4 linked regions of the Alligator mississippiensis genome follow. The protein of the gene in region 2 interacts with the protein of the main gene of each other region in a pairwise test. Links are inferred from orthologs where the notes say so. Each region holds a gene or a part of one and is shown on either strand. Other genes may lie near its edges. The genes, in order: HNRNPC, GRB2, SH2D4A and PRRC2A.

Region 1 (7,991 bases), on a different chromosome or scaffold from region 2:
GTGGCTCAAGCTCCTGCTGCTTTTGCAGACACAGCACGGAAACACAGAAAGCCTTCTAGACATACGCTGTTCCTGCACACGGCTCCAGGCCTGACCTGCCATCCCACTACAAGGGACAGCATGCTTCTATGCACTGTTCTAGGTCTCATGTGGTGTCCTGTGCTCAGAGATGGTTTCCTCACTGGGGAAAGGGAGGGGGAAGCAGGCAGAAGGACATTCACAGGAGGTGGAAGGTTCCCCTTTAGCAGGGGACCAGCCTGCCCAAAGGCAGGGGAACAAGACTCCCATGGCTTTTTTTCCTCCTTTGTCCAGGTCAAACCCAGATGTCTTCCTGAAGCACTGCTCACGGCACGTGGGGCACCAGCTCTGCAGAGCCGCTGCGGTTCCCATAGCCGGGCCTTCCCTGCGGGGTCTATTCTCCCAGCACTAAGGCCACAGCGCCAGGGCTCCCACCACGCTCCTACACAGCTCTGCCAGCCAAGGTGACAGTTGTGACATGGTGCTTCTAACCCTAAACCAGGCCTGCGGTATAACACAGGATCCTTGTGCTGGGGACTCCTCCATGCCTGGGCCTGTGGCTCTGGTGGCCAAAGCTCACAGTGAAATCTACTGGCCTCACACCTCTTACCATCGCCTGGGATGGGTTTGTATCTGCTCCACGGGCGGTTCCATTGGCTGTTGCTGCCGCTCCAGGCCAGGTGTCCGTGGCGTGGTGGTGGGTTGTTTTGAGGGAAGGACGGCGTAGAGGAAGAGAGCAGGAGGAGGGTTTTGGGGGCACAAGAGGAGGGGGCTGTTGGGGAAGGGCCATCGCCACCACAGGCGATCAGCACCACAGACATCATACGGCAGCAAGTTTAAAAATGGCACAAACGAAAGATTAAAAAATAAAAAAATAAAAAAAACAAAAGAAAAAATAAAAATACAGACTTCCAGAGACGCTCTAAAACAGTTCAGGAGAAACCAGGTCCCAATCTCAGCAGTCAAGGGGGGGAAAAAGAGTTAGCGTGATCAATCCACTTTAAAAATGCAAAAACCTTGTTGTCTCTCACAAAGGGTAAAAACCCAGCTCAGTCAGGAACACTCAGAAAAACGCGATTTCATCTGGTTAAAAATCAGCAGTGTCATTTATCATCACCATCAGTAATATATCAGCATAGTAAAGTCATCAGCATTATAGTAGTATAATAGTAATAGTAACTAGCAACAACAATAAAAAGGAAATCAGTGGAAAGGCAGGAAAAATGGAAAAAAATGTGGAATAACTTACTGTAGCTGAAGATCAAAAAAATCTCGCTGTAAAAAAACAAAAATAAAAATAGCCCAGATTAGAAAAACGGGAGGTGCCGAAAGGTCAAGTCAGCAACGATCATTTCTGTTCTCTCCCTCTCTCTCGCGCTCTGTGGTTACCACAGAGCCACGTGGGGAGAGCTCTTGGTAGGAGACAATCAAAGCCCTTTGCACACCACCACTGCACTCTAAAAATACCCGAGAGGTCAGCTCATGAGGGGCTAAAAGGCTCCTCCTCTCTAACCCAGCTGCTGCAGAAAAAAATAGACACTTTGCAAAATTACATCTTAAATCCAGCTCCAGCGTGGCGCGGGGAGCGCTGAGCCCCGGGGGCACTGTTAAAAGGGCTCTATAAAATGGGGAGGTGTGTGTGTGGGGGGGGGAGGGGGTTAACACGAAGCTGAGCTCCAGTGAGGAGGGATGGGGTTTCGCCTCGCTGCCCTGTGGAAGGAGAAGGGACAGGTTGAGTCAGGGTTCCTCGGAAACGCTGCGCGCCCCTCCCGCGCCCCCGCCCCGAGAAAGGCCTGCCTGCCTCCAGGGACCCCCGAGCGCTCAAGCTAGGGCTCCTGCCACCAATCCTGCGCTAACCCCTCCGCTCCGCTCCTCCGTCTCCAAGGAAGCAGCTCAGACGTCAAGCACGGCGGCAGGAGGAGATTCGAATGGGGGGGGTGCATCGTGCAGGCGGGGAGGGGGGAAGTGTCATGCGAGCCTATCCTGACGGAGGATCCTTGGAGCTCAAGCTGCCCTGAGGGTGCGGGGGGGTTGCGGGGGCACGCGTCCTGCTCCAGCCCAGGACGCGATGCAACGCTGACGCCTCCCCGGAGGCACCGGCGTTACCTACGGCAGGGAACAGGGGGCGAGGCAAGGCGAGGGGGCCTATTCCTGGTGGAAGGGGGGGGAGGGGGAGAAGTGAGGCCCGCGGGGGCCGGACCCGGACCGTGCCCTCTGGCTGCAGGGATCCGCATGCAGGGCCGAGGCGCAGGCAGAGAGCGGCAGGCCGAGACAGGAGCCCCTTCTTCCTGCCCACTCGAGGCTCTGCTCCAGCTGCCGCCCACCAGGCCGCGTGCCCCTGCAGCACAGGCCCCGGGAGCCAGACCCCCACCTGGCCGAGACCACTGCCGCGTGGCGGGGGAGGTGGGGATGGAGGTGAAGGCGCCAGCCCCCCCCTGCGCGCCCATTGGTCTGTCCCAAAGAAGCGGGAAACCGGGCTCTGCAGGCCGCACCATTGTCCCCCCGCGGGGGGGGGCGGATTCCTCGTTTTCCCATTGGTCAGCCCGCGCCCGGCCGCCCCTCAGCGATATCATCCCCTCCACCCCGCCATGGTGGTCTCTCCCGTCTGAGCCGTACCATTCTTCTCCCCGGCTCCCCCCCTGGCCCCGCGATGGTCTCGCCCAGGAGAACAGGCTGTGGTGCCTGGACTGCACCATTGTAAGCCGGGGGAGGGGCGGGATTCCCCCGCGCTCCCGGCCGGGCAGAGCCGCGCCGAGGGGCGGGGGGGGTCCGCTACCCCCAAATGGCGCGGGGAGGCGGAGCACACCGCGGGGGGGCGGCCCCGCGCTGTCCCAGCTCAGCCTTGCGTGCAGCGGCGCAGCAACGACAGACTCACCGCTAGGCCCCGCTCAGACTTCGAGTCGCTCGCGCTCCCGCCGCGGCCTCCTGGCTCCGCGCTGCTCACAAAATGGCGCCCACGCCGCCCTCTGCACCGCTCAGCCCGGACTAATCCGAGTCCACCCCGTCCCCGCCCCCATTGGAAGAGAGGGAACAGCCTTATTCACTGTCATTGGCTGGCAAAGAAGTCAATCCTGCTACTGGCCAATGAGAGAGGAAACTCTGAGGGGTGGGAAACGGCGGGTTCGACCCCCCCTGCCTCGGCGGAGTGGGGGCGTAAGCAACCACTGGCTGCTGCTCCCATCGCTCTACTCCCGCAGCCCAACACTCTCCTCTGCTTGGTTAAACTTGCTGTCAGTCCACGCCGCAGTCTTTTCTCATTGGGTGAACGGCACATTCGATTCCGCCCCTGCCTCATGTCTTTCTGTGATTGGTCATTAAGCCTTTTACGGGCCCACCTCTCTGCATCGATCCACCCTGAATGGCTGGAACTTCTGTCACTCCCCGGTAATTTTAGCTCTTATAGGCTATAGTCGAGGAGGCGGGATGAACAGGGAAAGACTCGCGGGAAAAGCCCCAGGGAGCGGGGCGGAGCTTGTGACTGGCAGCCAGGACCTTGGCATGGGCGCTTTTCTATTGGTCCCGGTGGGGGATGACGTACGGCTCCTGTCTTCCCCTCCCACACTCCCCTTGTCAGAGACCGGCGCCGGCTGTCGAGCAAGGCGCGTTCGGTGGAAGGGAGAGGGCTGGCGCGGATTGGTCACGTCTCCGCCAATCGCTGCTGGGCGCTGCCTTTCCCGAACGCTCATTGGCCAGTTTGAAATCATTGATACCCTTGCCAGAGGGGGTGGGGCGAGAGAGGGGGCTGCGAGTGAACTGGGTCTGCCCAGGGGTTTCCCTCCCTCTTGCAGCGTCCGGCGCTTAGGGCGCTTCTCCACGTTCATTAATGCGCTTTTGCTAATGTTCATTAAATCTAGTACCTCCACTGAGAGCTACTGGAACAGGCACATTCGTTTAATGCACATTAGCAAAAGTGCACAGCTTTTTTGTGATGCTTTAATGTGCAATAAAGCAGGCGAATGCACATGAAAGCAAATGTGTACACATGCCCTGCACCCCTGCTCAATAGCTGCTGCCGCCGCTTTCCTCCAAGAACTTCCCTGGTCCCTTTCTAAACAGGCAATGCCTGGCACTGCAGGGACCAGCTGCTCTCTATCGCCTCTCAACCATCTCCCCTAGATCCCAGTCCATCACTGGTTTTCACACAGCGCCTGTCCAGTGTTGCCAGCTCTCAAGAGACCAGTCCTTCCCGCACAGCTATTGACTCTGGAATCGGGTGATGACACTAAACTCTCAATTTTAAGCCCTCCCGGGGCAGAGAACGGCTGAAAATCGTGCCCTGTGAAGGTGCAAGGCCAGTAGGCAGAAAGATCCAAGCATTTTTACTTTAATTTGGCGATGCACAATCACTGGCGATGCATACACCCCCTGAGTGTAGCGGTGCACCCAAAGGCGACACCAAAACTGCTGGCAGTCACTGCTTGCTGCCGACACTGCCGGCAGCGTCTGTGGGCAGCCCGCGGACGCCGCTGCCTGCCATTACAGCAGTGTCTGTGGGTGGTCGCCGACTGCTGGTTGGCACTTGCTGCCTTACCAGGATTGGACAGATGAACCCTCAAAAAACAGATAGGCTCGTGCCCCCATAGCCAGTAGTCTAGACGCAGGTCTGAGCTGGCATCCATCCAACCCTACTCCAATGTGGTCGAAATTCAGACCGCTATCCCACGCCCCGCCCCCAAGTCTTTCAGAAGCAGAAGCTGTTCACACCGCTTCTAGTTCCGGTTTTTATAACAGCGATGCTGTGGCCAGGCTGCCTGGCTCTGCTGAGAGGCACAGAGCTGCTCTTCGCTCAGGAGGCAGCTGCTGGAAGTAGCATGGCTACATGCATATGCCACTGCAGCAGAACTAATTAGTATAGCCATGTCCGGGTGTCACCAGGGGGACAAGTGGACTAGCTGGAGCAAAGCCATGGCCCCCTCTCCCCTGGGGCAGTCAAGCTGCAGGCAGCACTGGGCTTTCCCCCTCAGCAGATGCAAGGGGACGCTGCCTGGGGCCACTCCAGGGCCAGCATTCCCAAGTTGGGGTGGATCAGGTAGTCATCACGTATGCCCAGATGCAGCCCTGCCACTCAGGACTGTCCTGAAAAATCCTACCCAGGGCAGTCCCTACACGCACCTCTGCCCCTGCCAAGGAGGATGGTGGCATTGGGTCTGACCTTGTTACGACGCTGATCTCAAGACCATGTTTCTGAAGCAGTTCCTGAGCTCTGCCCTCCCCTCTTTGAGGAGCAGGATGTAGAGAAGGGGATCTGTGATGTTGCCCAATGTGGGGATGCTCTTTGCCACCTGGCTGTAAGTGAAAAAATTCTTCTCCAGATGACACGTGTCAGAGTCTGGTGACGTCATCTGGCGCTTCAACAAGAAATTCACCTGATAAGGGAGGAAGAGCAGGAAGAAGGAGATGATGATGAAGGACATAAACCAGCACATGTGCTGCTTCTTCTCCTGCTCCAGGGATGACACCTGTCTAATCTTGCACAGGACCTGGATGTTGCAGAAACCCATGAAGAAGCAGGGTAGGAGGAAGGAGATGCTCAAGACGGCCCATCGGAAACGGACGTACTTTATGACTTGTGGGTAGCAGTCATAGCAGCGGTCTGGCCCCAGGTTCTGCAGCCAGTTGCCCAAGGAGCAGAAGCCAATGACCATCATCCACATGGCTGCGCTGATCGTGGCAGCACTGCGCATTGTCTGTAGCCCGTGGAAGCGCAGGGGGTAGACCAGGCCGAGATAGCGCTCTGCAGCAATGAGGCACAGGAAACTGTTCTTGGCGTAGAAGTTTGTGAGGAAGATCAGGTGGACCACCATGCAAGTGATCTCCCCCAGGTCCCAGCGGTGATCCTGGTAGCTGTAGTAGATCCAGAAGGGCAGTGTCAAGGTCTGCAGTAGGTCAGCCACCACCAGGTTCATCACAAAGACCGAAAGGACCACAGCCTTTTTGATCTGGGACACCAGGACCCAGAGTGCCAAGAAGTTCAGAGGCAAGCCAGTCCCTATTACCACGGAGTAGATGGGAACGAGGAAGTACTTGGTGGTGTTAAAAGCCATGGGGCAATAACAGCTGTTGTTGTCGTTCATGATGTACTCTCTGCCCTAGCAGAGGACGGGGTGTCTGCCAAGAGCCTTAGTCCCTGTCCCACAGGAAGGAGGGCCTCGAGCTCTGCTCCTGAAGATCGCCTCACCTGCTTCTCCAAGGGAGCTGCCTCGCCGAGGGAGCACAGTCACTTTATGGACTCCCAAACCCCGTTCCTCAAGGGATCTACAAAAGACACAAAAAATCTGGATACGGTAGGGTTGGGGGCACATGCAGACCACACAACTCCCCCCACTCACCCACTCTTTATCAGGCTGAGTGGTCAGGATTTCATAGCCTGCACACTGGGATCTGGTCCTCTGCAACAAATGCTGTAGCCAAGCTGGGCTGCCTGATCAGATCTGCAATGACTTGCTATTTTTTTTCTTTCCTTTTATTTTTCACTCTAAAAAGCAAGGAAATCCCTGCAAACCTCAGCAAACCAAGCAGAAATTAAAGGCACAAAGGTCGGGACTGGCGGAGGGCTTTCTCGCTCTGGCCGAGTGACCTCCCTAGAGCATCTCACAGCTGGGGAAGGAAGAAGAGCCCTTGCTTTGTCTGCATCTCTGCTGAACACTAAGTAAAGGTGGCTTCAGCTGAGGCAGAGCAAAGCAAGTCACTCGCAGCAGCGGAAGCGAGATTTCTAGACAGCCCCCTGCACAACAGCATGAGCAATCATCTTGAGGTGTTTTAGGGGCAATGCAGGGAGAGCAGCTGTCAAGGCTAGTCTTCAACAGCTTGAACCCCTGGGCTTTGCTCGCATCTTCCCTCAGGAACTTTGGCGGAAATGCAGCTGTTGCATTCACGTTCCTGGGAAACTGCGGTTCCATCTGTCTCCCAGTCCCAAGTCACAGATCACCACTTCCCATCATTTGCTGCCATGGCAGAGCTGTAACGTACCTGCCTTCTTTTGGACCCGACGCTGTCTTGCAGCGCTGCCAACATAGCTGGCTCTCCGCCTCCTTCTGTCTGATTTTCTTTCTGCCTTGTCCTGATAGTACAAGCACTAGGCATATTCTAGAGGTCTGCTCTAGCTGAAGCTATTAAAACAAGGTTATCTGCATATATTAGGTACATTTATATAAATCCCATTAATGCCTGGGTCCTGCGCTGGAATTTTTGGAGCACGGTTCTATTACGCTTTCCGTGTCTGCATTGAGTTATGAAAGCATAAGGATGCAGACCTCGCTCACCCCTTTCTCCATGTTGCCATGCCTATCTGTTGCATGGTTTATTCCCCTTTTGCTTATTTCCCCATCAGCTGGAGGCCCCAGGAGTCAGCATCATAGAGTTTGGCCAGAATTTGTCAGACTGGATCATGCCAAAAACCTTCTCAAAACCAAGCAAAACGCAGATACTTAAGGCAGCGTGTTTCTGAGCTGTGCTGGGGAAATCAAGCAGGGTCCTGCTGGCTTCCCTGGGAGCTCAGGGGAAGAGAGGGGAAAGGAAGCATAGTATTTAGGGTCGGAAGGGACTTAAACAGATCATCGGGTCCGACCCCCGCTATCACAAACTTCTATGCCAAGAATGGCTTCCTGTGCCTCATTGCTGCAGAGCGCTATCACAGCCTGGTCCACCCCCTGCACTTCCATGGGCTGCAGACAATTGCGGTGCCGCCAAGGTTAGCGCGGCCACGTGGGTGATGGTCATTGGCCTCTGCTCCTTGGGCAAATGGGGGTAAGGGCAGAGAGCCCCATAAAGCACTCACCTTGAGATCCTGCTGCTGCTTTGGTGTGTGTTGACAGCTCGGCGCTGCGCTCTAGCTCTAAGCTGGTGTCTTTCAGTGGTTTCAAATGCGTAAGGTTGTGGTTCAGTTCCGTGACGCTGAGAAGATCTCTGCAGACAGCCACAATGTGGTAAGCAGGAGAAAGCACACAAGGAAAGAGCACATATAAGGTGGGAGC
Region 2 (7,075 bases):
TTTAAACAAAAGATACAAAACCTATGAGTAAATATTTCCTGGAGGTACATCATTGCTCAAGGTGCTTGTGTAGTATAGGGGAAAACTCTGTTACAAAATGTAAAAACACAAGGTTCTTAGAAAAAAAAGATAGTGCAATGTTTCCAAGAACCATTTTGCTGATACCCTGAACTAGCAAGTTTCCTACCAAGCAAACAACTTTTTTCACAAGGTACAAGATGAAAAGACAGTCTTTGTAGAGATTTATTTAAATCTAACAAGCGCAAAGACACCACCTTTATTTTGATCTTCAGTACTTAAAAGAATTAGGTTTTTAGGTAACCACACTAATTAGCAATACTTGCCTAGGAGAGCAAGCTTTTGCTATGTAACATTCTTAATTGTTGGCAAAATGTCACTGAAGTTCAGGTATCCAGGCTACATACACACATACATATTTCTATTTAAATTATTATATAGCTGATGTCAGCTAAGGAAAGGAAAACAAAATCAGGAACATGTATCATACAATTTAAACTGCTCAGAAAGCTTTAGCTATGTACTACTCTTATCAGTACAGTGTATTGTTGGTAATATCTTGCACAACAAAAAACACATAGCAGCACAGGTAAACAACCTAATTAAGGAAGTGGGACTGCCAAACACCTTTGACAAACAAACTGAATCGGGAAAATAATTCAAAAGAAAAAATAAACCCAGTACAGTGAGAAAGTCTGTCTTGCGTAGGAAGTGGCTTGTGCTAGTCCTTTGCCACACTGCCCACTCTAAGTGAAGTTGCAAGTACTTATTTCAGATTAAGACTGGTACAGCAATTAAAGAGGCCATTTTACAGAGTATATTTTAACTCTCCAGGCAGACAGATAAGGTAAGATACACACACCCAAAATAAGAATACAGGTTACAAGAATGAAGGATTGACTAGAGAAGCAACTAAGATATCTCAGAAGAAACTGGTATGGTTCTTAACTCTCACATTCAGTTTAATGCATGGTGTTCACTTGTTTAAAAAAAAACAAACAAAAAACAATGGGAGGGGAAAAGAAGAAAGCACCAAGTGCACAACCTGGGTAACTTTTCATTTAATAGCACAGAGTTTAAATTTGAGACAGAATGCAAGTATTTGTAATGCACCAGCTCCTGCTGTCCACCATAAATCACAATTCCTATGACCCCTTTTCCTGAGATTTCACAAATACACAGGGGATGAAGACTATTTTGATATGGCTTCCATCAGTAAATGAGGGCTCTCTTGATTTAACTCTGCACTCTTGCTGTCCTGGAAAAAGAGAGGCAAGGGCAGAAAGAGAAGAACAGATAGCTTTGGAGGGTGGGAGTAACAGAAGAAAGAAAGGTTCAGTGGCAGTGAGGAGTGCATCCCGTGTTCCAATGAACAGCATAGGTTTTGTCATCTGGAAGACAAAAATAAGAGGGGCTGCAAACAAAGGAAGGCAGACTGAAAGAAGTCAATGTAGCAAGCCCATGCACTGGTCCGAGCTGCCTATGTAAGTGAGTACAGCATGTATAGCATGGTGCAAATTCAACTTGAAAACAAGTAAAAACAGGGACAGCCAGAATCAGAAATTATACCCCAACCTATCAACAATTCCGCAATTCTCATCCTTCATTTTGTACTTCCACTGGGCCAAATGTGGCTGGCTCAAAAACAAGTCAAGAAACAATCAACACCAGACTTTCAGCCTCTGGGGTGTTTCCCAATATTCAATATTCTTTGGCCAGGCCTTGTTAGGAACACGATCACCTTATCAGGGAACAACTGCTTTGGTTTTACCAAGACCGCTACTTTCTAGCTGCCACTTTCTTTCATACGGGAATGACTTTTTAAAATCTAATACAAGAGTTCTATTTCGGAATCTGCTACTATTGTGAAAGGCTTTAATGCAAGATGATGTCACCTTCTTAAGAGACGATAAAAAAATAACCCAAAGACCATTTGTTTTGGGCAAAGTATTGGATGCCAAGAAGTTAACTTAGGAGCAAGCGAATATGGGTAGCAATTTATTCATAAAAGAAAGGAGAAGTGTTTCCTAACCCTGATTTTCCAAACAGTATTCCCTGGCTCCAAATCAGCGGTCCTTAACCTTTTTAGACTCAAGGCACCCTTTGTCAGGCTCCAGGCGGCCCTTGGAAAATGCCAGCTCTTGGTTTTCACTCCATTTTTGACTATGGGGAAAACACTAGAGCAATTCTTCTGTTGCAATGAACACAGAAAGATCACATCAGGTCAAGATGGGGGGGGGGGGGGGGAGTTGTTTTTTTAAGGCTGTGGCTTCTTATTCAGAGTCCCCAGGTTTATCACACGAATCGCGTTTATCACACAAGCACATAAGCATCTATACACTATTATAAACGTAATGGCTTACATCAGAAAAAGGGGAACGTGCGGGGTGGAGAGAGGGAGGAACGACACCTCGGTGCTTCTCAACCCTTTCACACCCAAAGCAGTCCCCAGAAGAGGAGTTTCGCTCTTGTTTGGACTGCAGGACGAGAGGCCTCGGAGAGCCCGCAGCAGGGCAAAGCGTGGGTCACCCACTGGGATGCGGGTCTGAAGTCTGGGCACGGTTGACTCGTGTTTGCACAGCTAACGGGGCTGAACCCAAGGGGCCCCCGAAGTGCGGAGCCGGAGACCCCGTCGCCCTGCCTGTGCACGCCCCGGCCCGGCCCGGCCCAGCTCAGCCCGGCCCACCCCCCAGGCCTCTGCTCAGGTGCCACCTCCCGGTCCCGCGAGGCGAGGAGCGGAGCTCCACCAGGACGCGCGGCACAAAGGCCCCCCCCGGCCCCGGGGCGCAGCGCCCGGCCCCACCCGTGGAGCGGCCCCGCGCTGCCCCCAGGTCCTGTCCCGGCCCGCCCGGCCCGGCCCGGCCCGCCCTCACCGTGTGGCGCTGGAGCTCCGCTCCGCTCCGAGCGGCCCCGTGACGCTGCCTCTCCCGGCTGCCCCTCCCGCCGCCGCCGCCGCCTGGCTTCCGCTACCGCCAAGTCTCGCGAGAAGCACCGCCCGACAGGCCTCGCGCTGTCAGGGCCGCGCGCCCCGCCCACGCGCATGCGTAGTCTGAGCCCCCAGGGAGTGTGCGCCGGGCGCAGGCGCGGCCTCGCCAGTCGGCTCCTGACACTGCCAGTGCGCATGCGTGGGACCGAGCGGGTTGGCACAGGGGGCTTTATGGTGGGTTTAGTCGCCTGAAGCGTCCTTCGTCTGCGGGCACGAGGGATGTCCAGGGTGGGCTGGGGAGGCGGGTGCAGGTGTCATTTGAGCATGCTCAGGGAGGAGGGATGAAAAGAGAAAGGGAGGAGCCTTCCTGAGAACACTGCTCACATGAGAAGCTGAGAAATGGGTGCAAACCGACAGCTGAAACACATCTAGGTTGTGAAAGCCCTGGAGGACCAACTTGATTTGGTGAAGCAGGGGAAGCTTGTAGCTGTGGATAGAGAGCTCTGGGCAAGTCCCTGCCCTTTTTCCTCCTCTCTTTTTCTAGCCAGGTCCCAGGAATGCTCAGAAGATTAAATAGTTAATATAGGTGCAATGCTTTGAATCCTGAAAGTGCTACATACGCATTAAGGGCTCTGAATAATAATGCCCCAGGTGCCTCGAGCTGGGCATCCAAACTTAGTGGATGCTTTTACGTCTGTGTAATTACAGACTGTTTGCTTATGTGTGTGCGCAGAGGGGAGAATTAAGGTTTCGTGAGCAACTGTAATTCTAGTATTTCCTTTTTTGAGAGCGAGCTTGGCTCTGACCCCCCTGACATTCCTTTAACTATTCTTAAAAGTAATTACAATATAATCTCAAGTGGTTTCCTAGGTAAACATCTGGCTCTGATTCCTTGATGAAGCCAAGGCCTATTTAAAGAGTAACTCTTAATCTTGCTTTCCAATAAGAAGGCTGATTTCAAAAATAGAAGCTTTTTCTATGGCTACCCACCCACTCCCAGGATTCTGGTGCCTAAAGGATGTCACAGCCCACAGGCTCTTATCAGTTGGCTTCTTGGGGGTAGTTATTAACGACAGGCCAATTATAGAGGACTTTTTAGCCATGTCAGGTCTGTGAATGTGGAGTGTAGGAAGCGTATATATTGTGTTAATTAGAGATGAGACTCAGTTGCAAAGTTCAGATCTAGGCTTACCCAGATAGTCTGTATATAAGAGGTGACTCAGGCCTGTCACTCATGGGAATTGCAAAGCATTTTAATTTATTGCCATGTAAAGCAGTGTTCAACTTCCTGCCCACTGGATCCAGACCAGGACCGGTCCACAATTTTTGGGCCCCCCTGCAAAATATAGTTTTGGGGTCCCCGATGCAAAGAAGCCAGCGTCAGCAGGGGAAGGGGTGGCAAGCGGCCGAAGAAGCCAGGGGTGGCCAGATGCAGGGGGCCCCTCGGCTGCTGGGCCCCCTGTGGAAGCAGGTTTTGCAGGATAGGACGGGCCAGCCCTGGTCCAGACATTTGGTGCTGGGGGAGCATTCTGGACCCCATCTGCAGGATCCAGACCAGGGGCAAATTTCCATGTCTGGTCTGCAGGGCCAAAAGTTTGAGCATCATTCGTCTGAAATCACTTATTCTTAATTTATAACGAGACTGAACAACAGTGGCCATTTATATCAATAGGTCAGTTAGCCTCTCCATGACCATTGTAGGAAAAAAAAATCTATGCAGCAGGAGCAGCCCTGTATCAAAATATATTTCTTAAAGACATGATGATTCCACTAATGCAGGGGTCAGCAACCTTTGGCATGCATGGCACGCAAGGCCATTTTGCTCAGCACACCACTGCCAGCCTGGGCTCTAAGCAGCTGCTGTCAGCCACGGAGCCCAGGCTGCTCCCAGCAGGTGGCTGGGAGGCTGCAAGCCCTGCTGCAAGCAGAATGGGCTCCATGGGCCGGCTGCAGCTGGGAGGCTGTAAATAGCTGCTCCAGGCTCCAGCATGTTGGCACTTCAGCACCTTCCAAGGTAGACATTGTGTTTTTTTCAGCACTCTGGTCAAAAAACATTGCCTACCCCTCCACTAATGGCTCATGCAGGGTTCTCCCCTGATTCGGGCATTTGTAAAGATCTGGTTTGCTAATGTGTCAGCTCTAAGTGTCAGAACCGTTGGATACATTTTCTTTTCTAAAGCTGTTTGGAAATTAAGTTTTCTACCTTCCATTATCAGCAAGATAATTTCCTGCACATAATAACACTATGCTTCACAGGTTTTACTTTCGTCTTGGTTGGGGTAAGATTCACACCCTCCCACTACTACACATGCTGTTTCACCTCTGAATTATTCAAAAATCGAGTGAGGGTGGGAGAAAAGAGTGTTAAGGGGGCTGAGGATGTTGGAAATGATGCAGTAATTATCATCTATTCTACATATGGCAGACAAAGAAGTTAAGTGACGCATCCAAGATCCCATAGTGACTCAGTGCCAGCATGAGAAATAGAATTCAAGACCCCGAGGTCTCAGTCCCCAGGGCTAGCCACTGCAGCAGACACTAGGGTCTCTGGTTTTGTGTATTCAGAGGGACAATTTGGGAATTCTTAAGAAACCACATGAGAAGGGCCATATCAGTTTAAGCAAAGGAAAAAGTATATAGCAGGTACTTACTAGCTGGTCTGGAAAAAAAGATAGATATAGACAACAGCTGTCAGTTGTAAAATAGCTGCTTTAAAGTTGCAGCTGCTTGACTGACTTTGCTTATTTGAAACTGCCTTTTAAAGTCACCATACTGGGAAATAAATCTTATATGAGAGAGCAAACCTTTTGATGAGTTGTTTGGGAGCAAAGAGTTTATAGAAGTTACTGGGGTGTTATTATTACGGACTAATTAAATACATATCTTTAGGCTGTATACAAATCAATTAATGTTTAACAAAATAACTATGTATTTTCTTAGAAATATGGTGGGATGAAAGTCCTGCTATCATAGAAATTTAAATCCTGATACACAACTTTAGCAGGGATTTAAAAAAAAAGGCTACAAAGAGTCTGTGTTTTGAGTCTGAGGATTGATTTCAAATCCTTATTGTAGTGTATGAATAGTTTGAATTTTCTTTGGCCATTTGTGGTTGTAAAGTGAAATCTAAGATTAGTTCCAACTATTTTAAGCAGTGGCAAGTGAGTAAAATTTTTCTAGTGTCTGACATTTCCTTTTGGGCCCCTTTTTAAATGTCCTGGAGCAGTCTGAAGTATGAAATTCAATGTGTGGTTCTTTGCTATGAATAGGTTGGAAGACGACTTGCAACATATTTTGTATGAACAGCTATTGAAGGTTTAAAATGTCTGCTTTGAATGTTTGTATCTACACAATGTTACTGATCAAAGTCAAAACTGTTATTAATGCCATAAAATGTAACAGTGGCGTAGGATTTATATTGATACAGTATGACTGAAGACACAAGCCACTGTGAGAGTACTCATGCAATCTTGACACCACGTTTGCCCTGATCTCGCTAAATGTCTGAGAAATGCTTCTGAGTACCACACTTCAAAAGATAACAATTGCAGACCAGTGTAGCCCAGTGTGGCTTTGACCCTCGCTAGGCGCTAGGCCACAGATTGTGATTTGTGTCTGCTGCGATCTTTGAACTTGTTCTTCAGCTCAGGTAATAGAAGCTAATGATTTTACATGCAGTTACCGTACAATGTAATGCAATGATTCTGGTCACTTGGATGACAACTGATGCAGTGTCTTCTATACTATGAGTCAGAACGCCTACTCTTTGTGATTGAGAAAGTGAGAATTTCTAGCATTGCAGCAAGTAAAGACTTAGCTTAGGGCCTTTCTTAATACACCCATTTTTTGGGTGAGTTTCCACAGCATACCGTAGGAGACAGCCAGTAGATGCCCCCCCAAGTTTTGCCACTGCTTCAGTGCTGCAAGTGCAATAAATATACTTCCTTGGAGCACTGATATGACAGGTTAAAACTAACTAGGAAAACATTCAGGCTCCATGTTTCTTCTCTTTCAAAATAATGGAGAAGTGACCTCTTGCTCCCTTGTGTTGAGATATGGCAACTTGTAAAACTTCAAAGACTGTTGGAAGCTAGTCCAGGAGTGTCAGCGCTTGAACGAGAGCCCAGAAAC
Region 3 (7,327 bases), on a different chromosome or scaffold from region 2:
AGACCATGTTATGGAAGGCTTGGTCAATGCTTGACTCTCTCTGTGAAGAGATAAAAATGGGATTTGGAAATCAAATAAGCCTGGTGCCTTCCATGCAACTGAAGGGAAATCATATGCAAACACAGCAATTGTGTGGAAGGCTCTCAGACTGAGGAGCACCACAAGCCCCAGGGCAAGTAAAGGTATCACTCACTGGGCAGGTTAACTCCTGCGCAACAGGAGCCCCTGTTAATAGTCTCAAATGTCACCTACTCTGGTAGCAGAGACACTGACCATTCCAAATATTGTACACAGGTATTACTGCACCCCTAGCACTGTACAGAGGTATTACTCCTGACCCATTTTACAAGGGCACCACCCCAGGGTTTGGATTTGAGCTCCCCTCCTATTGGCACAGCAGGCAGCAGGGCTAAATGTGGCTCCCGCATGGCAGAGGTAGGGAGCACTTGGGAACCCCTTAGTTCACACCTCTGGCATCTGCAAATGAACTGGGATGTCAACACACGCCCACACCCTGCTAGTTGCTCAGGAGCAGGTCGAACAACTCTAGCTTGATATCTGGCTTCCTGCAGGCTTCAAGTCACATGCTCCATAACAGAAAACACCTCCTAGATTTCAAAGATCCCAGGCCTCATGTGCCCTGAGACTTGAGTGTATGCCCTGCAGCCCACGCAGTGCTCTGGCACATACAATAGGTCCAGTTAGGACACACACAGTAGGTCCAGTAGCTTTGCAGCTGCTTGTCATGAAACTGATGGGGAAGGAGGATCCAGTCTGACAGGATCCAGATTGAAGAACCCACAATAGTTGCCTCCATCCTAGATCTCCCTTTCATGTTGCACCAATTACCCTCCCTATATAATATGATGGCTCCCTCCTTTTTCACTAGTGACACATCCCTGCTAGCAGCTGCAAACCTGCTGAACCTGCTCTTAGAAAGAGGCTTGCCTTACCTGACTTCCTCCTTGGGTTGTTGCTGGGCCCTCTGAGCAAGGATCTGATCACAGATCATGTCATATGGCTTATCCAACATGTGCTCACCCATGACCCAGACCCAGACTTCACTGTCTGCTCCGAGCTTCCACTTCACCGACTTCCCCTTGGCTGCAAGACAAGCATTCATGTGGCTGGGCAGGGTGAACGGCAACCTCAGGGGCTGCTCTAGCTCTTTCCTTCCATGCCCTCCCTTCCTCCAGGCAGCTGGTGGGACTTTTGGGTAAAGCAGGTTGGTCTGGGAGGCAGCAAGGAGCACAGGTTATGGGTGAAGCTGCTAGCAATTTGACATGCCACATATATTTGTAGAACAATATCTCCCTCAACCGGAGTATTGGCTGGACCAGATTCCCACACTTTGCCCCATAGCTGTGTAGCAAGCAACTGCACTGAGGTTGGTGGGATTCTGTATTACATCATGGTTATGAGGGAGACCAAAGCCATTTTTCCCAACTGAGGGCCCCTTCCCTTGCTCCAACCCACACCATGTATTATTCCCTTTTCTTGGGGATGTTGTAAGGGAGCTCAGCTACCTGCCTATTCTGTTAAACTCCCTGTAATTCATTGAACCATGTTTCAATGAAAGACATGGCTGGGGACACTGCCTGGAGGAACAAAGGTGGTTCCTCAGCAGTGGAGACCAGTCTTTGCTGCTCCATGCTTCCTCTTTGGCCCTAAGGTTAATGGCGTGGGAGAAAGGAATGGCAGGGACTCCTATGCCTAACAGAGCAATGTGGTTGCTAGTGAAAATCCCAGCATGGCCTCAGGTCTGGAACCACCTTAATGCTATGTGACCTCTCGCTGGCTGTGAGGGTCATGCTGTTGCCTGCTTGCTGATATAGCCAGCCCAGACAGGGCTTTCTGCATGCCTCTCCAACAGGACTTGCCAACACGGCATGGACTGGGCTGCTGAAAAACAAGTGTATGCACCCAGAAGAGAAGTATTTGAAATATCTCAGTCCATTTAGCTGCACGGTCCAAAGGCCCATACTGCTTCAGCCTTGGTCTTGCTGAATGGGTGCTTGAGCAGCTATTTGGAGAATCTAGAGACCCCATCAGGCTGGGAACTATACATACACACAGCTCCTGTACCAAAAAGCTTACAGTCTGCATGGATGAGACAGACAATTATTCCCATTTTTTAAGGCAGGGAAATGGAAGGGGTTTGACCAAGGTCAGTCTTGGAAGCCAACCCCACCTTGCCTGAGCCAGAAACCAAGGTTTGAACCCAAACCGCACCTGTGATGGCAGGAAACTGTATTTATAACCATTTCCAGCTGTGCTTCCCTAACCAAAGCAATATCTCTTTAGAAATGCTTTTCACCCGGCTGCAAAGCACCCATTGAAGCAGCTTTGTTTGTCAGGGAGGGAAATGAGAGCTGGAATCTGCTTCTGGGCAGAGTCTTACCTTTCCTTGGTGCAGGTTTTTTTGTTGAGCTCTTGCCTGTGGCAGTTTCTCTTTCCTTCCACCGTCTGACCTGTTCTTGCCTCATCTTGAAGAAGAGGATCTGTTTCTGTTCCTCACTGAGCTCTGCCAGCAGGTCAGGATCAACGTACATATCTGCCAAAATCTGTTTCAGCATGGCTGTGTCTCTCAGGTATTCACACTGGTAGCAATGAGTTTTAAAGATGAGGTTCTCTTTTGTCACTCAGGTATGCCTGGGCCCGCAAGTCGCTGCACACACTGATCGCACAGCAAGAATGCAGGCTTCCTATGGTAATTATATTCCCGTCTCTGCACCTATTTTAGCTCAGACTTCCTGCACAGATGCCAGAAAAGTAAATAAACAGCTTCCAACCTGTTATTAGAATTCCCCGTCTCCTTGGTCTTTCAGGGACAAATTGGTATAGACTTTGCTCATAGTGAGAAAACCATGTTTGCACCCTGATAATCTCATCTGATACTGTATCAAAAAAAAACGCTCCATGTATAACAAAGTCAGAGGTGTGGCTTATTTCTGGGTAGGCAAACATACCATTGCTCAAGAGGCCAATGAACCTGTGGGTCTTCAGCTAGGAAACTCCCTGCTCCCTCCCACACACCTTTTGAAAAAAAAGAAACCACTGAGAATGCACCATACAAGGCTAAAAGGTCGACATGCCCCATTTTATCTAAGCAAGCACAGAGTGGGAGGAACAGTGATTTTTGGCCTCCCCACCCACAGAATCTCAAGTTACAGTGCACTATCCCCAATACAGCATAAGAGGCAGGGCAATTTGTTCAAAGCCACTAGAGCTGGAAGTAGCTATAGGCTGACAAGAGCTGAGAAGGTCCAGGGGTGATATTTTTATTGGTGTGAAAAATGTTGCTCATCTCCCTTGCGTAGTACCTCCAAACCATGGAAGGAGATAAACAGGAAGGAGGGGGAAACCCTCCATAGGCAAGGACATATCTCCACAAATAGAAGTATGGTACTATGATCTGGGATGAGGAACTGGTTATAAAATACTGGTGTGTACATGAGGGGTCCTTCTCAAGCAAACTGGAAATACTCAACTATTCCTAGTGAAAGTCTTCACCTGCTCTCCCTTGAGTTTCCACTCAGTCTGCTCCACAATTAGGTTTGGCTGTAGTTGCCACATCTCAAAGCTGTTTCTGATGCCTGAACTTTTAGAAATCAAATGCAAGTCAGCCTCAGAGTCCATTAGACCAGCCTGTGCACTGCTTTCTTTGTCCTGGACTTAAGGGCTAGGGACAGACATTATACATAAACTGGTATAAGTGATTGGAAACTGGTTTAAACCTGTAACAGAACAGAAGTTCAGTGCACATAGAACAGCTTCAAAATGGTCAAAACTAGTTTAAGAGAGGCCTGGATGGATGTAATATCAGACTTAACTGATTCAGGTTAAACCCATCTATTGAACTTCTGTCCCAGATCCCCTCTGGACATAAGTTAGGTCTCAGTCCACCGGCATCCCAGGATGTATTCCAGCCCTCACTAACACCCCCTGCTGATTGGGTAGGCTAACCTCTGCCCCAACTTGTCTGCTCCTGGCCAGCTGGGAGGCCGCCCGCAGCTGTCACAGAGCTTAGGCAGTCTCCCCAGCCCCACTGGTAGTGGCAAAGGGTTGGGGATTGGGGCGGGGGAGGGGAGGGGAATGTACCCCTGCCCCAGCCCCAGCTCCCTCCAACCAGGGACTGCACAGCGGGTGTGGAAGGGGTGGGAAAACCTCTGAGGTGGGGGCTTTTCTCCCTTACAGCACAGTTCTGCTAGGCTCTGAGTGCCCCAGCTCCAGCCCTGCCCCATAACCAGTCCCCAACTTGTCAGCCGTGGGGGAGTGGGTGAGGGGGAATGGACCCTCAGCCAGGGTCTGCACATTGCGGAGGGGGAAGGCAAACTAAAATTAAGCTTTTCTTGCAATTTCTGGTGTTTTCATTCTTTCCATTAAACTATTTACATTTCTAAACAAAAGATCCTTTCAAAATCAAAGATTTGCATTTTGAAAATGTGATAGTAAAGCATTGTGGGTTTCTCAAAATTCTTTTTTGCCATTTTTTTTTCAGCCAAAACTATTTGCTTAATTTGACCCACATGTATGAATCATTTCACAGCCAGGACCTGAAACTGCAGATAAGCTATTTGGTCAAAAAAAAAGAGTTCATCCAGCTCTAGAAATGAATCTCTTAATTTTCCCATTCATCTGTTAGCAATGTGGGATTTGGGCACAAGTTCTCTGGCAATGTAAGTGGCAGATACAGTCTAAGGCTCCCAAAGATTTTGCCATTGCTTTTCCAAAGAGGGGCTTTGCCAACTAAGCGTGAGACAATTGATCAAGAGTTGAATGGAACCCAAGTGTCTTGAGCAAGACCTATCTCAAGAAGCCCTGAAGGTGGAAGTAAAAACTGTAATACCTCTCTTTTATTAACTTAGAGTTCTGGGATATTTGCCTGCTTGCAACCAGCCCAGAGATGTACAGTAGGACAGTACAAGTGTGTTTGGACCATACTCTACAGTCTCTTGGATCATAACCATCCTCAAATAACCCCTGCCATCTTTTCTTGCTAGGATGAAGCAAAATAGGACTGTAGGAATATACTGACCTTGAAAACCTAGTATAGGCCAAGAGCATGTATGTGAAGCTAGTGATTCAGGAGCCTTATCAGTTTGCACTGCTGCTACCCATCTCCAGCCAGCCTGTCTGGGGCAGCATTCCTCTTGTTATCTGGTTCGCCTCAGTACAGGGGCAGGTGACTGTGCTCAGAGGCTGCTGCCCATATTGTAAAGGCTGTGCACATCTGCAGGGGTAATCATTTTTTGTCCAGCCTGCTTTTTCATGCATTCATAGATACAAATGCCAGAAGGGATCATATGTACAGCCAGTCTGGCTTCCTATGGGAAAATTAATAAAACCATTTCTGCAATTAGCTCACACCTTCTCCCGTGAACTTGACTGCATCTTGAGGGAAGAAGTCTAGTCCTATTTGCAAGACTTCAAGTGATGAAGGCTCCACCACATCCATTAATATACACTGTGCAGCCACATGGTTGGCTGCTTATTACTTGCATGGTTAAAAGTCTGAACTCCCCAGTTTGATGTTCTGTAGCCAAAGACCTTTGGTAGTGCTGTTGTGATTTGGCTGGTTGACCTTTGGTGGGCTAGCATAGCTGAGAGGAACTGGTTAAGGCTAAATAAAAAACATTAAAAAGGCCGGAGGCAGAATTGATCTGTTACATGGTTTTCTATAAGTGGTGTAGTTTAGATTAGTTGTAAACACAATGCGCATTTGCCTTTTGGTGGGAGGGGGAGGCGGGAGCGAATCTTAGACTGAGTTCTGCCATTTTTAAACCAGTCTATGCGTGCCAAACATCTAACCTGTTACAAGTATAGACCAGTTTTGTGTGCTGAACTTTTGTTCTGTTATGGGTATAGACTGGTTTCTGATCACTTATACTGGTAAAGGTGTAATGTCTGTACCTGGCCTAAAAGTGCCAGCAAATATTTTGCTATTTGAGGGAGGATCAAGCCCCTTGGGCATAGGTCAGAAGGCTCAGTGAGACATACTGAGACACCTGTAGGCACCAGCTATCCAGAATACAGGAATAAGCAAGATCAGCATTGATGAAAGAACATTTTAAGACTAGATATCAGGTCAGCTCATTCCACATCTAGTGACAGTAGTGCTTGGTGCCATCTGGGTAGGTTTGTTGAAAGGTCAGAATAAAGCGTTTCCTGGCAATCCTAAGGAAGGCAGACTACAAGATCCTGTGGTACACTGCGTCCTTAACTCCGGCCTTAAAAAGGGCTCAGACATACAATGTGCTTACACTTGTAACCCTGCTTATGTAATATATGCTTTCTTATGGTTATGACTGTTATGGCAACTTTGTGTATTCTTTCTCTGCATATCCTGATTAGTATGCATGTTTGGAGGTTTGGGGGCTACTTGTACCTGATTTTACAGACCTATCTCCCACAATCACAGGAACGTGTCTGGGTGAGAGGAGAAAGCCCAACCTTCCCCATTCAGGGAGACCCATCCCCTATAATCAAAGGAGTATATCAGGAGCTAGACAAGGGCCAACATGTGTTTTGCCCGATGAAGTGAATCTGCTGTGCTGCAACACATTGTGGCACAACAGATCTGCTTCATTCAGTGACATCAATTTCTAGCCTAAGATTCATGATATCTTTAGTTCTCCATGATTACTTAGCATTATATTTTTTTTTACCCCTAATACGGATGTGGCAGTTGTGCATATTTCAATCTTAACCATCCTCCAGTTTCCTCTATGGTGTTTTTCTTTGGGCACACCCATAAATGAAGCAAGTTATTCTTCTTTTGTAACATACTGTTCTCATGTTTATTTCTATTTGACTCCACTCACAACCATGTATAATAGTTTCTTATAATAGTTACAATAACTATTGCGCTTTGCTGAGATGAACATTGAATTCACAGGACCTTATAACAAAATATATTTGACGACTGCATACAGTCTTCTTGATTTCTTGAACTTTTCCAGGGGCACCAGGCTTAGCTCTTCTGAGCTAAATTTAACTCCTGATGTACCCTGTCCCTCAATTTTTTTCTTTTTTTGAAAATTTAGCCCTGGAGGGAGGGAGAAGTGAACTCATTTACATTTCCAATAGATGAAGATTATTTTGAATGGGAATCTGCAGCATGACTGGACAAGTTTCATTTGTTGCCTCCAATAAAGCAGTGGAGTATCTAGACTATTATCCAACTACCCCCTTTCCCAGCAATTTCAAAGAGGGTGTGGGGGAGAGTCCTGTAGAAGCAGATGAGACTTTGTGGGCTCTCACCCTTAATCACTGACCAGTGTGGATGTCAGGGCTAGAGAGAGGACACAAGGAGAAGAGTGTTACA
Region 4 (7,711 bases), on a different chromosome or scaffold from region 2:
CCGGCGGGCGCCTGGGTGTTCTCTGCAAATCAATTAAGAAGCCATTAATCCCCACTGGCACCAGTGTGGTTGACTAGGAGCTCTGCAGCCGGGGGTTTGGGGGGAGCAAAGACACCCCAAATTCAGACACGTTTCAGCTAGGTCTGGGTGTTCCTGACCTAATAAAACATGGTTAATCCTCTTTTTGCCCGCCAAAATGGATGCCTCTGGTCCATATTCATGGCTGAGGGATGCGTTTATGGGGGTGATGCAGAAGGGGGTAGCTACAGACCTTCATCTTTGCCCCCCCCCAAATCTGACCCTCCCTCAATATTAAAGAGGCTGAAGGGTTTGGGGGGACCCCCTTAACCTCCTTCCAAGCCTAGGGTTCACTCCAAGACCAACGATGGGCTGTCTACTCCTCCATGTCATTCATCTGCCCAGGCCTGCACCCCAAAAAACCCCCCTCCCAGAAGCATCCAAGGCACCCCCAAGATGCCCCCCCACCAAAACGATCTAGCCACCAGGAAATTTTAGGGGGCAAGAGGAGCTGGGTTTTCCCTCCTTAGAGCTCATCTAAAGTCCAAACCAGAACAACCCCCACCTAGAACCCGCTAAGTTTTCTTATTTATTTGTCCAATCTCTCCTGGATTTTCCACCCATATTTTAATACCCCCCACCCCGGACAATTAAAACCTCCAAGCTAGATTTAATCATCTGCCTTCGTCCTGTATTCGGAGATACCAAGCCCTCTGCAAATAGTCTGTTTTTATTTAAACCTTCATATTTCCAAGGGGGTTTCTACTTCTCAGTGGCAATTTTGGGATGGGGAGGGTGAGATGGGGGTCCCTGCAGACCCCTGAACGTCACACGTACCTCGATGAACTTAAAAGGAGAGCGGCTGGCAAAGCCAGAGTGGCTGGTATGAAAAAGGTCCTTTGCGGCCTTCTGCCAGGAGGGGGTTAAAAACCAATGGCTTTTATTGAAGCAGAATAGGTGAGAAAAATCCTGGGAGGACAGAGACCCCAAAAGCTCTGATTTCTGCCCCAAAACTGCATGGAAATAAGCCCACCCAAGTTTGACTGACAGTGGGGGCTGGGTGAAACCAGCCCCTCCTTTCCCATAGACCCTCCTCCCAAGTTAAAGGGATGGATATCTATTCATTGCTGGGGGGAATGACAGAAGAGGGGGAAGCTCCAGACCTTGATTCAGTAGTGCCCCCAATATGTTGAGGGCTGAGGGGTTCTGGGGTGAAGCTAGACACCCCTCCAGCCCCCCTATCACATGTGAAAGGTGGCTCAATGGGCACAGGGGTGTTTCCAACGCAGGTATCAGAGAGGGCATGTCCCATATCAATCAATGCCTACCCACCCAATGCACCCCAACAATCCCAGGAGCCCCCAAAACAACTCAAGGGGGCATTAAAGGCAGCTCAGAGGTCACAGGGGCACTTCCTAGGGGTTGGGCGGTATCAGGGAAGGTATCCCCCAAATCAACGCCCTCCCATCCAAGACACTCCAACAATCCCAGGAGACCCCAAAACAACCTGCAGAGGGGAGCACAAAAGGCAGCTCAATACCCCCCACCTCCATCTGAGACACCCCAACAATAAAGGAGGAGCATGAAAGGCAGCTCCAGGGCTATGGGCACATCTTCTAGGGGATATCAGGGGAAGCCCCCCCAAATCAAGTCCCCCATTCAAGGCACTCCAACAATCCCAGAAGACCCCAAAATAAGTGAGTATGGGGGGGCTGAGCTAAACCGAACACCATCCCCAAACCAGCACCAAAACAAGCAGAGCAGTGAAAACGTACCCCCCCCCCCCATTTCCTGGGGGTGCTGGGTACCACTGCGGAAGCAGCCCGGCGGGCTGGGTCTCACCGAGGACCAGCACTGGTTAGGCAGGAAGGTACCAGGGAGCGAAGCCCCAGCCCCCCAAAGGCAGTGGGGGAACCCCGATATCTCACCCCACTCCCCCAGGTAGCCTAGCATCCCCAATCCATTTCAGATGCCCCCAAAAAGCTGACGGGTCCAATCTGGTGGCTGCCCCCCCAAAACAAACCTACAGCCATAAAGCAGCTGTTTCCACACATTTTGGGGTGTCTCCGACTTTGAAGGGGGGGTTTAAAAGGGTCCCACTCCCTGCTTATACCCTAAATCTTAGCCCCCTCATGCACCCCAAAACCTGGGGGGTTGGGGAGGGTGTGGCCACTGGGGGACAAGGGGGAGCCCAGAAAACCTCCAATTTCACCCTCAAAAGCTACAGCCCCCCCATAAGTCATCAAGGGATACCCCAACCCCCTAGAACAGAAGGGACTGGTTTACTGGGCAGGGCTTTGCAAGAGCCCCCAGCAGCCTGTACCCCAAATACCCCCCATCCCCAATTTTTGCCTTAAAAACGATGGGATGAAGTAGAAGGGGGCTGTTAAAGGGCTGCCCATTTACAGCTCCCCCAAGCACCCCCTCCTCCACCCCATGGGGGGTATATAATGGGTGGGGGGTTGGCCTCTAGAGCCTCAACAGTCACTTTAACCCCCCCCCGCCCCTTGGGGGACCCTGGAGTCCAGGGGGGTAATTAGTCCCCTTCTTGCCCCCCCAGCCAGTAAATAACCCCCCAGGGAGAGAGAGGAAGCGATTTGGGACGGGCTGGGGGGTCTCCCGGCCGGGGCTGGAGGGCGCCGGGGGGAGGATGGATGCGGATGAAACCGGAGGGGGGGCGGGTTAGGAAGCCGGGCACAAGATGGCGGAGGCCCGAGCGTCCCAGCGGGCTCCGCGCAGCGCGCCTGGCCGGGCGCCCCGGGGAGGGTGTCCGCAGGCCGATACCCACCTCGTCGGGTCGGGTCGGGCGGGCTCCGCTCTCACCGGCCGCGGGGTCCCCGGGAGCGGAGGGGGCTTCCAGGCGGAGGATGGCGGCGGATGGCGGCGGGTCCCCACCCCCTCCGCCCAGCCCAGCGCCCGATGTGGCAGCTTCGGCGTCTCGGCACCGACTAAACGGCCATCCGGGTCCCAGGCCCCGGCGGCGGGGGAAGCCACGCCCCCCACGCTGCGTCGGGGGCGGGGCTTCCCGCCGGCCTAGGCTGTGGAGAGCGCGCCGGGGATTTGCATAATGCCTGCAAGGGGGGGGGGGGGCGCAAGCAGCCTTCGAGCTCCGTCCTGATATGTGTAATCTATGCAAAAGGGGCGGGGCTTCCTTCCCCACGAGGAGCGCGGCTTTTAAGCGGTTTCTGATGTGCATAACTTAGGCAAACGAGAAGGGCGGGGACTGTGTCCTGATTGCATGATTACAATACATAAATTAGACATTAAGTTATTACATCATGCATAAGTTAAACATAGAAATATATAAATATAATATAAATATAACAATACATATCAATACTTTGCATAATTTATGGGTATGTGATGCAAAGGGGCGGAGCTTAGCCGCAGGCAAGAGGAGCGCTTGGCATATTTTTATGCAAAGAAATGATATGCAAATAGGGATGTATGTCCTACATGGGTATCCTGGGGTGGGGGGGCAGCTTGACCATAAACAAGAACCACCTGTAATCTACATAATTTATGCAAAAACCTTCAACGGCATGCAAATGAGGGTTCCTCTGCCTTATGTGAGTGCACACTTAAGGTGAAGATGGGGCCATCATTTAAAATAAAGGTTCCTTCTGCTTTCTCTCCTGTATGCGTAAACTATGCAAACGAGCCACAGCCTGATTTTTCAGAAACTCATTGCATAATTTATGCCAAGAGAGGGGCAAAATATGTGCAATGCAAATTGGGACCGATAGGCCTGATGGCGGAGGAGGGGCAACTTTTAGAGTCTGCTTTCCCTATGTGATGCCTAAATTATGCTAATGAGATACAGCCTGGTATTTGAAATTACTCTTTATATAATTTATGTAAAAGAGGTGGGGCCTTGTAGCAGGAAAACTAGGAGGTGGAGGAGGCAAATGCATAATCCAGTCTCTCCTATTATGTCATAGTATATGAGATACCCCCACCCCCATATATAATCTATTATTATAAAGCTATACTACTATTGTAGCAGAAAGCCCCCTTTTCCTCTTGCCTGCATTTGCTCTCCCCTCTTTGGGTATGTTTCTCTTTTTCTACCTTTTCTTCCTTCCTCTTTCACTTTAAGATAAGGAATTGTGTTTTAAAATTTGTATGTGTGCATTTTGTATCTCCCCTTGTAGTTTGGTATTTTTATCTATTTGTGTGCCATGGCATTTGTAGCTTATATTTTATACTCCTCACCTTTCAACTTTCAACTAAATGTGTTTAGTTTCATAAGTAAGTTATACATTGTAACAATATTAACAAGGGCAGGAATCAAACTGCCCTTCCCTGTATCAGGCTGGCCCCTGAAAGAGCGAGTGAATCAGTGATTGAATGTGTAACATGATTGAATGTATAACAATGTAGCACACAGCAATTAACACCTGGAAGCTGCAGATCAGCCAACGGAAGGAAGAACTCAATAGAAGACAATGTATCAACCGGGAAATCTCTAAACCTCACTGATCAAGGGCTAGAAGCCCTGGCCTGAGTTAATCAACACCAGAGACCAACTTTTGGGCTGAATATCTCCAGATCGACCACTCCCAGAGCCCTATTCTAAATTCATCAACGGACTCCCAAACCGGCACGTTCATGCAGACGACCCCTGGGGCTGACAGATGCCGTCCAGTAGCCACCGAGGCGGGGGAAGTCCCACAAGGGTCAATGACCCCTGGATTGGGCAAACCTGAAAACTGGGGAGTCACCAAAGTCTGCCAGGGACAGATAAAAGGCAGTGAAAAGTGACCCTCAGAGGTGCCCTCTTGATCTCCAACTCGACCAGATCTGTCCAGCCAGAAGGACCAGCCAGTGGCCTCCTTCTGGAAGATAACACCACCCTGAAAGAAGCCTCAACGACAGACTCCAGCGCTTGTAGGATAGGTATACCTGACTCTGTAGCCTGCTACTATGTGTGTGTATGTGTGTGCATGGGGGGGGGGGAACCAGCCCCAAGGTTTATGATTTAACTCATTACAGTGTTTCAATCTGCCTAATAAACCAGAATTTTAAGGATCCCGAGTTGGACATTTGTAGCCAACACTATTATATTTACTATTGCTATCATATATTACTATTATACTATACTATACTATTGTTATAATACTATATGTTATAATCTATTATCTTCATGAGATATAAATAGATTTACACACACACACACACACATATATATCTCTCTCTATATATATAACAGAGGTTCTGAAACGGTGGTCCATGGACCACCCCTCATTCACAAGCTCCATTCAGGTGGTCCACAGTAAGAGGTTGCAGAACAATCCAGAATATCTTTACTTGTAAGGTTAGAATACTGATACTAAAATATGAATTGTGTGCTTTGATATTTAAAACAAATAAAAAGTTTATTAAGTGATCCACCGAGACTCTCAGCAATTTCCCAGTGGTCCGCAAAAAAAAAAAAGTTTGAGAACCACTGTTATATAATAAAGGGCTTAGTCCGTCTGTCTGTCTGTAATGCTCTTGGAGCACTCTGATTGGTTAGTGAAACAACCAATCAGAGTGTGAAAAGTTGCCATGACAGCAGGGATGGAGGGGACAGAGTGTGGTGGTAAAGCCAGCAGCACTGGCCTCTTTCCCCCCAGTTCATCCCTGCCATCATGGTGGTGCTCTGCCACCTCCGAGGATGAGGGCGGGGGGGAGCGGGGAGGGGGGAGACCAGTGGCACTGAAGGTGGAGGTGGTGTGGGGTGCTGGCCTAGGGGGACAGAGGGGACGGTGAGGCAAGCTTCCCTCCCCACTCCCAAGAGGCAGTGGTGGTGCAGGGTGGGAGGTGGCAGCGCTCCCTCCCAGCCTGCTCCCCACCCCATCTCCTGTTATTCTTGAAGGGCAATTCGCTAGTATCTCTCTCTACATATGTATGCATATGCACACACACACACACACACACACACACACACACACACACACACACACACACACACACAAGCATGTACATAAACACATGCACATATATACATAGACATACATGGTATGTGCTATTTTCATTTTATTATTATATATCATAACATACTTTAAATAAATATTATATATATACTATATATTATAATTTATTATCTGCATGATATATAAATACCCCCTCTTATGCCATTATACACCCTCCTCTTCTCATAATGGGTCAGTCCACCAGTTGACACCCCCCTCAAGCTGTTCAAATGAGCCATGCCAATCTCACCTGCTGTAATGGACTGCTCCACATTTTGAGCTGTTCCAGCCTCACCTACACCAATGGATCATTCCAGCAAGGGTAGTCTCTCTCTCTCTCTCTCTCTCTCTCTCTCTCTCTCTCTCTCTCTCTCTCTCTCCCCCCCCCCCCCCTTCCCCCGCCCCAGATGGGAACTTCTCTAACTACTGCAATGGACCATTCCACCAAGGAATACCCCTGTTTAGTGCATTAAAATGGGAGGTTCCAAGTGCCCATGGCTAGGTCATTGCACACCCAGGTACCCCTCTCCTTGTGGTGGAATAGTGCTCCCCCCCCATGGGATATTCCACTATCTGGCTATCTTCCCCAACATCATGTGCTTATAATGGGCCATTCCATTTAGGGACCACCCCGTTCATTAACACGATGATGTTTCTCCATACTTGCCTGCTATAACAGGGGATTGTCTACCCTGCTCAGCTCTATAATGGGCTGTTGAACCTGGAATTCTGCCCCCCCTCGCACCTTCTAAACTGGAACACTCCAACTGTACACTTCAATGGGCCAGTCTCAGTGAAACCAGCTGCCTCTCTTCCTAATGGCACATCCCAACCCTCCCACTATAATGGTCCAGTCCAAATCCAAGCAACCACCTACCCTTGTGCAATGGCATATTCCAGCCCTCCCAGGGGCTAATGCAACTGACAACATCCCCCTCCCCTATGTAATGGAACATCCCAAACCTCCCATTGGCTAGCCCAACTGTCAACATCCCTGTCCTCTATGTAATAGAACATCTCAAGGTTCCCATGGTCCAGCCCAGCAGCCAACACCGCCCTCCCCTGTGTAATGGAACATCCCAAACCTCCCATGGGCTAGCCCAACTGCCAACACCTCTCTCCCCTATGTAATGGAACATCCCAAGCTTCCCATGGTCCAGCCCAGCTGCCAACACCCCACTCCTCTATGTAATGGAGCATCCCGAACCTCCCATGGGCTAGTCCAACTGCCAACACCCCCCTCCCCTGTGTAATGGAACATCCCAAATCGCCCGTGGGCCAGTGCAGGGGGGGGGGGGCAATTATTTGGGCCGGCCCATGCCTCCCCGCCCCTGCAGCTGCCCCCAACCCCAAAGCCCATGTCTGCACTGTGGTGGGCTGCCTGCAGCTGGCTCGCTCCAGCCAGGGCATGGCCAGGGTGGGGTAGTGGGACACGCGCCACGGGCTGGATGGTGCCTGGACCAGGCGAGACTGGGGGACCAAAGTCCCTCCACGGGCGAGATTTGGCTCGCGGGCGGTATTTTGCTGACCCCTGGGCACCCCCACCCTGTAAAATGGACTGGCCCATTACACAGGAGAAGGAGGTGTTGCCAGTTGGACTGGCCCATGGGAGGATTGGACTGTCCCAACTGTAGCTCCCCTCCAGCCCTCAATGAACTATTCCACCTCAGAACCCCACCCCCCCAGGCCAAGGCCCCACTTCTCAGCCAATCAGAGCCTTGCGAGCCCATGGGAGG

What was found.
Region 1: the proteins of GRB2 (region 2) and HNRNPC interact in a two-hybrid assay, tested with the Homo sapiens proteins (2 studies listed by BioGRID and IntAct, with this or other methods). The link is inferred for Alligator mississippiensis from reciprocal best matches to the Homo sapiens genes GRB2 and HNRNPC.
Region 3: the proteins of GRB2 (region 2) and SH2D4A interact in binary tests that used the Homo sapiens proteins (3 or more experiments, as listed by UniProt). The link is inferred for Alligator mississippiensis from reciprocal best matches to the Homo sapiens genes GRB2 and SH2D4A.
Region 4: the proteins of GRB2 (region 2) and PRRC2A interact in a two-hybrid assay, tested with the Homo sapiens proteins (2 studies listed by BioGRID and IntAct). The link is inferred for Alligator mississippiensis from reciprocal best matches to the Homo sapiens genes GRB2 and PRRC2A.

What each region holds. Positions count from the first base shown.
Region 1 is NC_081830.1:3,830,614-3,838,604, forward strand, and holds the start of HNRNPC (heterogeneous nuclear ribonucleoproteins C1/C2), read right to left. Parts: upstream 3,002-7,991; 5' UTR 2,894-3,001; intron 1,729-2,893; 5' UTR 1,572-1,728; intron 1,294-1,571; 5' UTR 1,268-1,293; intron 1,262-1,267; exon of another isoform or gene 843-1,261; coding exon of another isoform or gene 629-842; intron 1-628. Other genes in the region: probable G-protein coupled receptor 132, read right to left, coding at 5,175-6,062. UniProt on the Homo sapiens protein: Binds pre-mRNA and nucleates the assembly of 40S hnRNP particles. Interacts with poly-U tracts in the 3'-UTR or 5'-UTR of mRNA and modulates the stability and the level of translation of bound mRNA molecules. Single HNRNPC tetramers bind 230-240 nucleotides.
Region 2 is NC_081831.1:12,480,665-12,487,739, forward strand, and holds the start of GRB2 (growth factor receptor-bound protein 2), read right to left. Parts: upstream 3,003-7,075; 5' UTR 2,892-3,002; intron 1-2,891. UniProt on the Homo sapiens protein: Non-enzymatic adapter protein that plays a pivotal role in precisely regulated signaling cascades from cell surface receptors to cellular responses, including signaling transduction and gene expression.
Region 3 is NC_081825.1:132,233,184-132,240,510, reverse strand, and holds the start of SH2D4A (SH2 domain-containing protein 4A), read right to left. Parts: upstream 3,002-7,327; 5' UTR 2,577-3,001; coding exon 2,402-2,576; intron 1,105-2,401; coding exon 954-1,104; intron 41-953; coding exon 1-40. UniProt on the Homo sapiens protein: Inhibits estrogen-induced cell proliferation by competing with PLCG for binding to ESR1, blocking the effect of estrogen on PLCG and repressing estrogen-induced proliferation. May play a role in T-cell development and function.
Region 4 is NC_081834.1:58,509,480-58,517,190, reverse strand, and holds the start of PRRC2A (protein PRRC2A), read right to left. Parts: upstream 3,007-7,711; 5' UTR 2,807-3,006; intron 1-2,806. UniProt on the Homo sapiens protein: May play a role in the regulation of pre-mRNA splicing.